Regions from separate parts of the Mus musculus genome. Here region 1 is reported to be linked to region 2. Evidence: microRNA targets listed by miRTarBase, many of them from high-throughput screens and not tested one by one. Region 2 holds a microRNA gene; the other region holds the end of a gene's coding sequence.

Region 1 (7,115 bases), not on the chromosome of region 2:
ACATGTCTCCCATTCTCTAGGAACACAATATTTGGAGCACTCATTCTTTGTATCGGCAGCAGAAGGGGAACAAAATAGGCTGGCAAGGTGGCTCATATGAAAAGACCTTCCCACACATGCAGGCGTGCCTGACTTTGCATCCCCAACACACACATAAAATGCCAAGTATCTACACCAGTAATCCCAGGCTGAGTAGCTGGAGTTAGACAAAATCCTGAAGCTCATTGGCTGGCCAGTTAGCCTAGCCAAATAAATGAGTTCCAGGTTCAGTGAAAGACTCAGTCTCAAAACTAAGTTGGAGAGGCTGTACAGACGGCGCATCTGAGGGCACTTGATGCTCTTCCAGCACCCATGCTTACAATTATCTGTACCTCCATTTCCAAGGGACCTGACAACATTTCTAGCCTACAAGGGCACATGTAGCACATGGCACAATACAAGTGGAGGCACTCATGAACACACATTTAAAAAATAATAAGATAAATATAAACCTTTTAAAAATGAGAGAGAAACTGAGAAAGACTCCTGTTATTATCATTTGATCTCAACAGAAACATACTTGTGCATCCACACATGTACCTACATACATATGTAAATAACATACACATACAGACATGGTTAGGATTGGTTATATATCAAAGAAGCACAAAAAAAACCCCCAGCAAGTTAATAAATCAAACTGTTTATTTCTCTTCTGGGTCATGATATCTCAGGAATGCAGTGACCAAGTGGCTTCCAGACTTCCTTGAGACCCAAGCTGCTTCCTTCTACATGGCTGCTGTAATCTCACTGGGCCATTCCAGCTTCGCTATCACCTCTTCATCCCACACAAAGAGGAAGTAACACCAATGAGGGGAAAGGCACATGCCAGTCATCTTTAGGGAAGATGGTTTTAAAATGTCACTGTATCTTCGTTGTATCTCATTACAGGAATGTAGCCTGCAACGGAGCCCAAGAAATATGAGCTTTATCCCAAGTCCCCTTATGCCCGCTAGACATGTAGAGTGCTACATCAGAGTACAGTCAATTATGTGGGATGTCTAGTGCTCTTTGACATACATTGAGGAAGATATCTTTGGTATATATTAGGACATAACTAGCTGTGTCACTCCAGCATTTCTACCCTGATTGACTCAGGACCTCAGTTTCTCCATATTCTGCCCTCCACTCCAACCATAGTACCCCATATATTACACATATTATGCATTTGGCCCTTTGTACCATCTTACCTATATGAGGCCATTTGTTCTAGATGTCCTCCCTCTCCCCCTCTCTATATCCAAATTCTACCCACACTTGGCTCCAAGCTCCCTCTATTTGGACCATCCTGTTGGGGAAATCTCCAGAAAGGAACCAGATCCCAATGGGTGTCCTGATTGGTCTTGCTCCACTGATGTCTAGAGAGGTTGGTGGGCTGATCACTGGCTATGTGACACCTGTCCCTAAGTGACTGTGGACCAGGCCACCTTGACTTGAAGTCCTCCAAGACTACACACAACTGAGGAAGGTCAACTCCCCAAGGGCTATCAGAGTGATGTTATCAGAGATAGGCTGTACTGACTGAATGCAGCAAATGCCCGTGGCCAGACTTAATAAACATGTGTTGATTGACAGTGGCCCCTTTCCTTTGATTCCAAGGACGTTTTTGCACATAATACAGACCAGAGAACCCCTGGGATTCTTTCTACCTACAGCTGTTAACCATGCAGGAGGCAAATCTTCTCTGTTACTGTTGAATTTTGCAACCTCAATTGATTAGACTTGGACTGACAGCTTTCTCCGTATAAATTGCCATTTCTAATCAGGCAGGAACTTTACCTCTTTCTCCTGACATCTGGTTTGTTTTTGTTTGTTTGTCTGTTTACCTATCTCAGAACAAAGCACATTCCTGGTCCTTACAAATACTGGTGAATGAATCACTTAATTTTGTGAAAGGACCAAATAAATAAAGGAAGAGGCAATAAGTGTTTTAGATAAGTTGCTAATCTGTACAACTATCCAGATAGGCCCTTCTCACCTTAAGCATTTGTGTGGCACCAAGAGACCAGTTGATGCATCACATGCTATTCTGAAAGATATTGTCACCCCCACAATCTTTCAGAATTCTGCCCTGAAGGGACAAGAGAGAGGTCCATCAGGCAGTAGCTTCAGGGACTGCAGCTGCTGGGAGAGGACAGAGGTCACTTCCACCCTGACCCAGTATATCTGTCCTTCTCCGAGACAGCCCGTCCTTAGAGAAGGATGGAGAGCAGCAAGTTGAGCCTTCACAGTGCACAGAAGAACTGTTCGCAGAGATGATGCTCCGCCGTGGCTGACTCATCTGTGCCCGCAGAACTGAATACTGGGAGCTCTCTAATATCTACAACGTGACAGAGCCCACAAACCTTGTTTTTGCTTATTGATTTTGTTTGTCACGTGCAGACAACTGTCAATGGCCATGCTTAACTGATGAAGAGATGAAATCTGAGAGCCCAGCTTGGATTCAAGACAAGGGTGTCTCTGTGCAACACAAACTTTTCTGTGTGTGTGTGTGTGTGTGAGAGAGAGAGAGAGAGAGAGAGAGAGAGGGAGGGAGAGAGAGAGAGAGAGAGAGAGGGAGGGAGAGAGAGAGAGAGAGAGAGAGAGAGAGAGAGAGAGAGAGAATTCAAGAATAAAAACCTCAAGACCTTCTCTTGAATGCTAACAATGATTCTTCCTCTCCTGTCATTGAAATAATAACTATAAGTAAGAGTTAGGGAAAGAATGTGTCAATTTGGTTTTGATTCAACTGTGACTCTTGGTAGGACTATTTTATTGAAGTTAAACTTTGGTATTTCATCTTACTGTGTATTTTGAGAGAGAGTCAGAGAGACAGACAGACAAAGAGACACTGAGATGCAGAGACAGAGAGATTTTACATGCCCTTCAGTTGGACTTTATTTTGTTTTTGATTTTGGAGCTGAAAGGCTAATTCTACTTCCTTCCCACTTTGCTAGGCATTAAATCAATTCATTTCTCCTAGGCAGCCTGTTGCTTCTCCACTCTGATCCTAGTTTCACTTCTCCCACTTCCCATGTAGATTCCTGGAGATGTCAGGAGAAATGTCCTATGCTCTGAGAACTCCTTCTATGTGCTTTGTCAGGGGGTTTGTTGACATGTTTTCAAAAGTGGAATTATTTTCTATATGTCTTCTGCACAACAGGAGCCACACCCTACATGTCTGCCTTGGATTAAGTGATGCTTTCATTGAGATTTAAAAAATACCCATCTGGTGAGAGCTATAGAAGACTGCCTTCGGCTCAGACAGGCCAGCATCCTCTCCATTTCTTCAAAGATAGCCTGAGACTTCCATAGGTCATTCATCATTGATCAGGTCCTGAGGCCAGTCAACCCACTCCTTAGCTTGTTGCCGTTGACAGGCACAGTGCTTTGTAGGCCATACTCACTGTCCCCTTCACCCAGACGATGGTGACAAGTATCATCTCTGTCACTCTATAAGGAATCAGATCAGCAGGGTGAAGTACCTTGTTCAAGGGCCAAACAGCACTTAACAAGGTGGAATTTGGATATGACCAGGTCTGTCTGCTCAGAGTTGGAAGGAGAGAACATGGGTCAGAGATAGCCAGTCCCCAGGGAATGCTTGGGAGCCATGAGCAAAGACTCCTCAGAACACTAGAGCAAGACATCTTTTAGCCCAAACTCTCCTCCATGTTAGTGAAATCTCTAAATGGCTGAGAACTCTGGGAGACTCTTTCAGGGAACCATATTGGTGGGCTGCTGCTCTGCTCTGCCATCCTGGCAGGCATTTGTCTCGAACCCTACACGAGAAATACTGCTTCTTTAGAATGCCCCCGTGATGATCCAAAGCCAATGAGGGAACTCTACGACAAGGGTGGACGGTTTCTAGAACCTCCAAGGGGGAGGCTTTAGGACCTTATCCATCTTAGCAAGAGGTTGCAGAACCCCTTCCCTTTAGGCTTGACTCTAGTTAAAGTTTCACCACAAGCACATCCCAGTGCCTCTGCAAAAGAAACTCAAACCTCCTTGGGAGAAACTTCCATGCCTCCCACCCCAGCCCCCCGCCCACCATATTCCCCCAAATAAACAAAGGCTCATTTGTAAGAGGCTTTTAATTTCATCTCGGTATGTCATTAGAGAGTAGAATTAAGGATCTCTGTTTGCTTTCATTCACATATCTGCTACATTCCTCAACCAATCAGCCACACAGACACTGTCTGTGCCCCCTACACCCGCCTCATTCTCAGCCCACAGACTGGTTCAGGTTTCCTGACGGTTTGTATAAATTATAAAGAAGAGCACAAAAATCACACAACACACACTCTACCACTAAGGGACATGCTTCCTCTGGCCTTAAAGAGAATGAAGTGGATATGTGGGCATAGTCATGGCTCTGATGATGGTCCCGGGCATGACGTCATGCCTGTCACAGCCCCTCTCACTGGAGCCCTTCTTTCTTCCCCCTACACTCATTCTGCTTCCCCAGAAGGATCCTAACACAGAAGATCCCACTCTAGCACCGTAATTGGAGATCAGGGCATGGAACTGTCCCTGTATACAATGGAGTTCAGGGCACGGGATTGTCCCTGTGTACAATGGCTACTGGGTCTTCCTGTGCTCAGGGACTGCAACATGAGTTGGAGGGAAGAGCCCTGGGTACCTGCCTGGTCCCCTCTGCTTCTATGAACTCCATGAGGCTGTTTATGAGCAGGCCCCCAGATTATGGGCCCTCAAGAAAGAGACAAACAGAGATCACAAGTAATTCCGGCTTTTGGGGGTGCATACAGTCACGTTGAAGTGACTTTTTAAAAAGTAAGAACAAAACAAAACAAAACAAAAAAAAAAAAAACAACAGATGTGCAAGTCAACACTTGTTCTAGAATTCCATCCACCACGCCTCTTCCACCTTCTCAGATGGAGCGTAGTCTCCACCCCCTCAGAGCTGTGTCTCTGTCATGTGGCCATATGGGCTATGCAGAGAGATAGGACTTAGGGTACCAGAACTTCCTGCTCTGTGGTCCCAGGTATCCTCTATCATCAGGTACATGACTCGGTTATATTTTAAATCATATCAGATTTATTTTAGTTTCAACTTCGATCATGTCCTGGTATGGAGCCTTATTGTCCCCAGGGAGGTAGGTGTGGCAACCACCTCATCCACACTCATAGAGAGAGAGGTAGGTGTGGCTATCAACTTCATCCACACTCATCGAGGCTGAATCTGGGGTGGGGGTGGGGGTAAGGACAACCTTGCTGATGCTGCCCAACAATCCCATGCCAATAAGCCTAAAATCTCATTCAGGCCCAGTGACTGGACACCAGGGTGAGCATGAGTTCACTATAGCATGCTGCCTGCCATCTGGAGTTGTATTCTAGACCTCAATGATGCTCTGATCACAGAGTGAACTCAAGCACTCAGAGCTGTGGGGCCCGGTGGAACAGTTCTCTCTGCCCTGCCGATGAGTCTCTCCAAACTAAAAATAAAGTTTATAAAAGTAAATTATCTCATTTTATAACTTAAGTGCATCAAGCATTTCCTTAAATATAGTTCACACTGAAAATAAAGTTACTTTTGCTGTACAGTTGGTGTCTGTTATAATTAGGAATAAACTTTGATGATAAAGTATGAAAGGTTTTACACACACTCATACACACACACACACACACACACACACACACACACACACAAATCTGTCTGTCTATTGGTGTGTAGATGAATAGACATACGGCACCTCTTGACAAGCACTTCTCCAGAACGGTGGGAAGCTGTTAGGAGTCCCTAGATATCTAGTTTGCTTGAGAATGTCTATATTAAAAGACCCTGCCCTTAATGATAAACACATCTTCATATCTAACACTAAGACTCTTATTAGAAACATTAAACTATGCAATCCATAATGTATTCAGTCTTTGGAAATGCTGAGCTACACCATATAATTAAACAACAGCATCCCCAACAAACCTCCCTCCCCAGCCCACCTCTTCTCTGGCCTCCCCATCCTAAAGTCAGCAACCCTTCACACAGTATGGTTGTTCCATATGGGAGCCCAGGTCACAAAATTGTAGGAGAAGACTCAAGAGGTGAAATAGGAATTCTGCATGGAGTACAGATGGTCAATGGGGTTTCCCACTCTGGACTGCAGGGGCCCAGCTTCTGAGGTTGCCAGGAAGCAGTCTCCCAGGTTACTGAGAGATGTGTCATCACTATCCAAGTCATGGAAAAGAGGTTCAGCACCTGAAATGAAGATGGAACATGGCAATGAGGGTCTGGAAGAAGTAACACCCTTGTATGCTAGGAAATTAGCTGACCTCAACAAGTGTTTGAACACATCCCAGGGATGAGGACCTACTAAGTATGCGCTATGGGGTGGGAACAACTAGACACAACAATGTAAAGGTTACGATGCTAGGGGTCTCATAGAGAGCTCTTGTCCAAAGTTGGGAAACATTAAGCCACATGAGTGAAGGTATGCACAGTGAGGGTATCTACACAGTAAACACGGGGTAGGCAGAACTCATCTCCAAAGGCTGGAGGGACATAGACAGGGATTCTGAATGTCCTCAGCCTCACAAAGGGCTCCTCAAGGACAGATGGTAAGAAATGAACATGGATTCTTCAAGTGAAGTTCTGATCTTGCTGGTAACATTGGTCATTTCCAGTAGCAGAGATGTACCAATGTTTCTCTGTCTCCCCAGATTTCTGCCTCACAACAAAGGAAGTTAGGTACCTGGCCTCAACTGCACCCTGGAGAGAAGGACCAGGGGGTCACACTATAACACAGCTGAGGTACCAATCAAAAACTTGCAACCTGGGCGGCATGGCAGGGTATACCTGCACTTCAGTTCAACTGGAGAGGCAGAAGCAAGTACCTAAAACTTATCATTGAGCTTCAATTGTTCATTTTGCTAAAGTCATTGACATAAGGATTTGCAAAATGAACAACAAAATCACATCTTCCCTGGTCTCCCATGTGACAGAGAATATGTTTTGAGTGTTATATGTGTCTTCTAAAGAGGAAATGGATGGGCATCACTGGGAGACACACATAAAAACCTAGAGTGTACGTGTTCTTGAGGTTGGGAAGTGAGGGTCCACAAACACCATGGTTAAGTGTTTG
Region 2 (7,124 bases):
ATAGGAGAGAAAGTTAGAAAACTTCCTGTTCATGTATTAGACACAGTTTTGGTACCTAGCATCTATACTAGGTAGTTTGCTACTGCCTACAACTTAAGATTTAAGAGATTCAACATTTCTTCTAGCTTCTGAAGCCACCATCATGCCCGTGATACATATAAATATATGCAGGAACATAAATATTCATAAAATAAAAGTAAATAAAGGAATTTTTCAAAAAGGGATAGAAACTATCTGACTATTAAGCAAGCAAGGATGTATTTATTCTTTGTTCTTGACTGTGGATGTGATATGACAAAGTCCTTGAGTTCTTGCCTTGAATTCTCCAGAAAGGTTAACTAGAACCTAGAATCATGAGCTGAGATAAATCCTTTCCCTGCTAAATTTCTTTTTTGTCAGGATACTTTATCACTATAACATAAATTAAATTAAAAACACATTCTAATCTTATTTCCTGAGACTCAGAGAGTAACTAATTACTGTTCTTCACTACACATTCTTCTCATAGCATTCCCTACTTCCAAGACTTCAAACTCATTATTATGTTATTATTTTCCATATTAATATATCTTAAGATGTTTCATATTCATATAACACTAGAATTAAAATTATGAAAGCAACAACAAATCTATCATGGGGATGTCTGTTTTAAAGTGACTGCAATGTATCTTGAAATCAAGAAACTCATCCACTGTGTGAAGACTATGTCCATGTGGCTACCACCCTTGTATTTGTTGAACCTTACAATACTGAGAGATGTTGCAGTTACTCATAGTACAAAGTGACTGCTACCCATTCTCAGTAATGCATTGCACACAGAATATTGAGTGAGGAAATTAAGTCTGAAAGAATTAAAAGATATTACAATTTTTTGGACTATCAAGTATACATATATAATAAATTTCTTTCTTCACAATTAAGATAAGAGCAATTATAATCTTCTTTACCTCCATTTAGCTTTCTGAAGCAAGTGATTTATAAACCATTCACATGACTTTTTATTACATTACATTGATATAATATAGTTTATACTTTATATTCTCATGATATGAATAACTGAAAACACAAAGACTACCTAGGTCATTAGATACAAAAGGTTTACATATGGAAAAAACGATTTCAACATTACCTACAGAAATGAAATCATCACTATCCCAAAGACAGATCAAGTGAGGAATATAGTCTTCTTGACTTGAAGGAGATAGGTATTTGTTATAGTCACTTAAAATCTTACAAGCACAATGTATTACAATACCTGTAAGTTACAAAGATATTCCGAAGACCCTAAGATTCAACCACTCCATATTTTTTCCTCTAAGCATTTCCTTTAACACTTGTTCCACTGAATTTTTGTCAAAACCAGAGAGATGAGATTGATTTCATTTTGGTTTTTTACATTATATGTGCTTAGCTTATACTCACTGATTAGTGCAACTCACAGTTCTGATGAAAAGTTGTTTTCTCTTTGTCTCTGTCTCTCTCGATAGGGTTTCTCTGTGTAGCATGGGCTATACTGGAACTCACTCTGTAGGCCAGGCTAGCCTCAAACTCAGAAATATGCCTGCCTCTGCCCACCCCCCAACCAGCCCCCAAATGCTGGGATTAAAGGCATGCACTGCCCAGCAAAAGTTTTTTGTTTTTGTTTTTTAAATAAGACAAAAGGCTATTTTATAAAGAATCACAACTTGTCAAAGTGTAAACTACTGTCTTTTGTACATGATAAGGCTGTTTCACCAACACACTTTCAACAGTTAATGGTTGCTCGTACAAGATTTGCAAAAGACTGATTGAGGAAGGGTCCATAATTCCCATATCTAGTTCAGGCTGCTAAGGGAGAGCTAGTATTTTTTTAAGGATAAGTCCCCTGATCAGTTAGGTGCCCATTCCCAAGTGGTAAGTATGGTCTAAATTATGTACGTGTGCATGAAGGTAATCCCTGCCTCGGGTTTCAGGGATCACATGAAGACAGACATTTGGTGTTTTTTACTCGTTAGAACCATACTGAGGTTAGAGGCATGAGAAACTAAATGCCAGGTAGCTTACACTGTACCACTGGCATATTCTACCATTCTTGTCTCTTGAAGTAATAGGCCACATGAAACTTTATGCCTAGCAACTGGCGTCTAGGTGCAGATTCTTGTTCCTGAGATCATAGGCTGTTCCCAGAGGAAACATGAACTCATTGAAGAATCATTCATCAAGTATCTTCACGACTGAATTTCATATAGTCGCTGAGGCAAGATGAGCTAAACTGAGAAAACACTAAATATAATCCAACTGCCCAGTTAAATATAAATCCAAGAATTATATTTTTACCTTCAAGATGCTACAATAAGTTCATGAGGAATATGGTGAGCATTTTTTTCATCTAGAGAAGAAGTACTTACATCTATTTCTCATGAAGGAATCCAACATAGATGGAATGCCATTGATGTGAAACTTCATGTTAAATTGCAGAAACTTCATTATTAAAATCGTTGCCTTCAGATATCCCATCATTATTTGTAAAACAAGATATTTATACCTTGATTTGATTTAATTGTAAGTTCTAGAGAATAATAAACTCATATCCCTACACCATTCATCTTTCTGAAAGCAGGTTTTTTTACCTGTACAATCTTCAGATGAATGCTTGTCAATACCAAGAACAAAAGCTTGATCATGTTTTCCTTTCTGGAATTATAACCATGGTCATGTCTTTTGCCTTGTTTAATTGTCCTTGTGCCAATTTAGTTTTTCTTAGCTTGACTTTATTAACAGGTCAGATCCAAGAGACCAACAAACCAATAGACAACTGGTTTCCTCCCAAAGTTCAAAGTAAAACCCTATTCTAGAAGGCACCTCACATTTCAGAAACAGGATTTGGAAGAATAAAGATGATATTGGCCTAGACTTTTTCTCTGAGGACTGGCTTTCATGATATCAGAAGTTTCAATGCAAGCTGCCAAGGTAAAGGAACAATTGGAAGTCTTACTCAGGTTTAGAGCCTGCTACAGAAGAACAAACTAGTCACATCTGTCAGAAGAAAGTGAAAAATCAACAAAATCTACCCCAGATATTTTATGACCTCACAATCTTTATAATCTTGAACTCTATAATCATATGTACTGATAGCTCCTATGAAATAAAACTCAATTGCCCTTTCTATTGTATTTCCTACATATTTATAGTAACCTCCTATTTACTAGGATGACTGCCAAAAACAAAACCAATAACATCATATTAATGTTATTTGTTGACATTAAAGTGAAATGTGTCTTCTAGATTTTTATGTTTGTAAATCCATATGTTGTTCCTCAAGGGGATATTGGAGAAATGAAATTATCCTCAGGAAACAAAACCTAGATGAAGAAAACTAGAACCAGAAAACCATTGTAAAGGTATACACTCAAACCATGTTGATGGTATAAAGCAACAACAATTGAGGAACATGGTAAGCCTTCCTATACATAGTATGGCACCTTTCACTTTTTGTTTAATGTGAAAAGCACTATACTACGTAAAGCACTGCTCACAATATTCTTCATATAAACGTATTGCAAATGAGGCCTCTATCATTTACTCTACCACTCATAATATGTTACCTGAATCATTGTCTAATTTATTCTTCAATCTTAGAATATAATATTTATTGTAAAATAGTACACATTCTTATAAGATCATGTCCTTCCTATCTTACCTTCTGTTTATGAGAATTGTTCTCATTTCTAAGATATTAAGCTGATTCCTAATTTTTCTTCCTTATTTTAGTACACTCCTTTAGGTTCTTGATACTTTTTGCCTGTAACCCACAAATTAAAAATAAAGATTATGTCATGAACACATCTTAAATATGTCTGCTATGACAGTGACTACAGAGCATTCTATCATAAAGTAACATACTGTTGGTTTGTGTACATGTACACCACAAAGTCTACATGGTACGCCTGCAAAATTGTATTTGGAGCATGCTAGACATGGAAGAGTGACTTCTGAATAATGCAGAATATAGGACTTGTAGAATGAAGTGTTGCACTTACGATGTGACCATTATAAAATTAAGGCCTACCTGGGAATACACTTTCTGGAGGCACTTATTTCCAACATGTCTCAGAAAGGCATGTGAAGGATAACTGCTGTTACATATTCTAACCAATATGAAGAACATTATGAACTTTACTTTAACCACCATGGTGGTTTTCATAGTCATTCACTTGATAAACACCAAGGTGAATAAAATACAGCCCATAAGAAACTTAACTTCATCTTGAGCTTTCAACATATATGTTCAAGTATAGGGGACTTGCAACATGACCTAACATATTCACAAGTCTTAGTGAATATAGTAGACAATACCTTTTACCATACATGTTCAAAGGGATCCCTCTCACATTCATTTTGTGTCAACAAACCGCTTTGAGTAAGCTTGTTGCCATTTTCTTTTTCAGATTATGGAGTCACTGAAAGTTCTTTCTGTTTTTATTCTTTAAGTTTTTATTTAAAAATTTGTTTTCAAAGAATATACTTTAAGCATGTTAGTCATTTCCAACTCATTCCACAACTTTTTATGTAAAGAAAGCATTTCTCAGATAATTTCCATAATCCCCAAAGACATGTATGAAGACATGTATGAATTCTCCCATAGTAACATGATATAATACTAGTAAATTTCTTTAATATTCTCAGGAAAGGAAATTATACTACCTTTTCCCTTTTCCCTTCTTCTACATGGTTTTATTTAGATCCCATGTAGGAGGAGCTCATTCTTTTGTGCTTCTTCATCTATGTACATTTGCAAGGTAAATTGACAATACAAAATATATCAAGTAACCCTAACTCACCTACTAATATAAAAGTGACCTCAATGTTACTTGAAGTGAAAAGTCACTGCTATTTAAGACTATAAATCAAGTGAGAAACATGATGAATTTTAATAACCCAGAGAGAACCTAGTCAAATGTAGTCCCAGTATTCAGCATGAGACTAACTCCAAAATGTTATTTAACCAATTTTAGCAATAACTTAGCAAAAGCTTCATTATCCCTCTCAAATTTTATCAAATTGCCAATTTACGACAATACCTAAACTATTAAGAGTTATGAAGATCATGCTATCCAAACTGTTTAATTTCTCTTTGCATTTCTCAAAAATGAGAGCTGACGCTTTTCTTAAAGGGAATAAGGATTGCCAAAGAAGAGAATAAGATTTGTACCATATTTTCTTGTATGAACAAGTTCTCTCATGTCCTCTATTTCTTTTTATTCCTCTAATGGAAAAGTATTCATGCTAGGGTAATACTGAGTGATAGAGCATCTCTCATAAAGTATCTGACTAAGCACTCTTAGGACCAAAGCACCTGAGTTTAGGGGTAATGTACCTACAATGACATCACCAAAAAGTTGTATCTACAAACTGCAGTGGGGGAGGCTTACATTAACTCAGAGACACAGAAACAAGGAGAAAAAATAAACTTGTACATTTAAATTTTTATTTTCAGTATCTTAAATGTATACATTTTTCATTACTTAGCAATTTCTGTGACATCTATCACATCATCTATCATCTATCACAGCACAATACCTGAAAATCCATGTATTTTTTATAACTCTGAAGTGATGCCAAATTCTTAACCTCTGAGTCATCTCTCCACCCCAGTGGCAGCCTAGAGAATAAGAAAAGATTTTTACAAACTGCATTATCTGACAGAAGACTAATATGCAAGATATATAAGGAATTTAAAATTACATATAAAAATCCAATTAAAAATAGGGTATAGGTCTAAACAGAAAATTCACAATAACAGAAACTCAAATGAATGAGAAACACCAAAATAAATAAATGTGCAAAATCTTTAGCCATCAGGAAAATTCAAATAAAAACTACTTTGATATTCCATTTTACACCTGTCAAAATGGCTAAATATCAACATGTGACAACGTGATAGAGAAGATGTGGGGCAAAGGAAACACTCCTCCATTGCTAATGGGACTGCAAACTTGTACATCAAAAATAGAAAATATGGTGGTTCCTCAGAAAGTTGGGAACTGATATATCTTAAGATCCAGCTATACTTCTTTTGGGCATATACCTAAAGGATCTTCATCCTACCACAAGGACAAATGCTTAACCCTGCTCATTGCCGATCTATTCATAATAGCCAAAAATTGAAAACAATCCAATTTTTTAAGTGTCCCTCAAACTGAATAAAAAGCCTGTGGTACATTTAAACAATGACGTATTACCTGTTAAGAATGACATCATGAGACTTGCTGGGAAATAGATGGAGCTAGAAAAATAATCATCCTATGAGAGTTTTAAAAAGACCCAGATAGAAACATATGGTAAGCATTTACTTCTACGTGGATATTAGCCAGTGAATAATGATAACCAAACTATAACCTCTTTAGCCAGAGGGGTTACATATAGCAGAGGGAATAGTTTGTAACAATTAATGAAAAAGGACACTGTAAATTTGGAAAGAGCAAGAAGGAATATGGAAAGTTTGTAGGGAAGAACAGGATATAATTATATAATAATCTCACAAAGTAAAAAAAAAAAAAATAAAACCAACAACTTTTTCTATTCTATCACTTTTATCTAGGTAGGATGCTATTGGAGGCACTGTCTGTTATTTAGGGTGGCTCTTCTCATTTGAAATAATCTGACCCTGTTGCCTGTGGCTCATCTATTAGCTGATTCCAAAAAATCAGTCAAGCTGAGAGCAATAGTTAGTCATTATACCATTACTACCTAGAGGTGATCAAACTCATTTGGTTTCTTGAGCCATAACCCCTAGACAAATAAATAAATGTATGCAGTATGTATGTATGTATGTATGTATGTATGTATGTATGTATGTATGTATGCATGCATGTAAAACTAATCTGCAAACACTTAAGCAATGCTGAGTGGAAAAAGTAGCTTTTCACAGGGATAAGCCAGCAAATTAGTTATTTAATACCAAGTAGTCTACCATATTATATACATACTCACATATTTATGTGCACACGTGTACACACACACACACACACACACACACACACAGAGAGAGAGAGAGAGAGAGAGAGAGAGAGAGAGAGAGAGAGAGAGAAAGGGGGCCATATGGGAGAGTGGAGGGTGGGAAGGAAAGTGAGTCAGAATTATAT

The links. Region 2 holds the annotated microRNA mmu-miR-471-3p (UGAAAGGUGCCAUACUAUGUAU, at 3,446-3,467, opposite strand). A microRNA usually pairs through its seed, bases 2 to 8, with sites in the 3' UTR of a target mRNA and lowers its output. Matches are read on the target gene's strand: a 7mer-m8 pairs with bases 2 to 8, a 7mer-A1 pairs with bases 2 to 7 and ends in A, and an 8mer does both.
Region 1: miRTarBase lists Lmx1a as a target of mmu-miR-471-3p. Seed matches in the 3' UTR shown: 8mer at 5,624-5,631.

The regions. Positions count from the first base shown.
Region 1 is chr1:167,845,718-167,852,832 of GRCm38, reverse strand. It overlaps Lmx1a (LIM homeobox transcription factor 1 alpha), which reads right to left. Exons shown (of 8, transcript NM_033652.5): 8 at 4,100-6,232. The coding sequence ends at 6,072. Among named protein-coding and RNA genes, the nearest start is that of Lmx1a, 160 kb to the right of the region's middle.
Region 2 is chrX:66,789,154-66,796,277 of GRCm38, forward strand. It overlaps Mir471 (microRNA 471), which reads right to left and starts at 3,508; the gene lies at 3,442-3,508. Mir883b (microRNA 883b) reads right to left here and starts at 814; the gene lies at 737-814.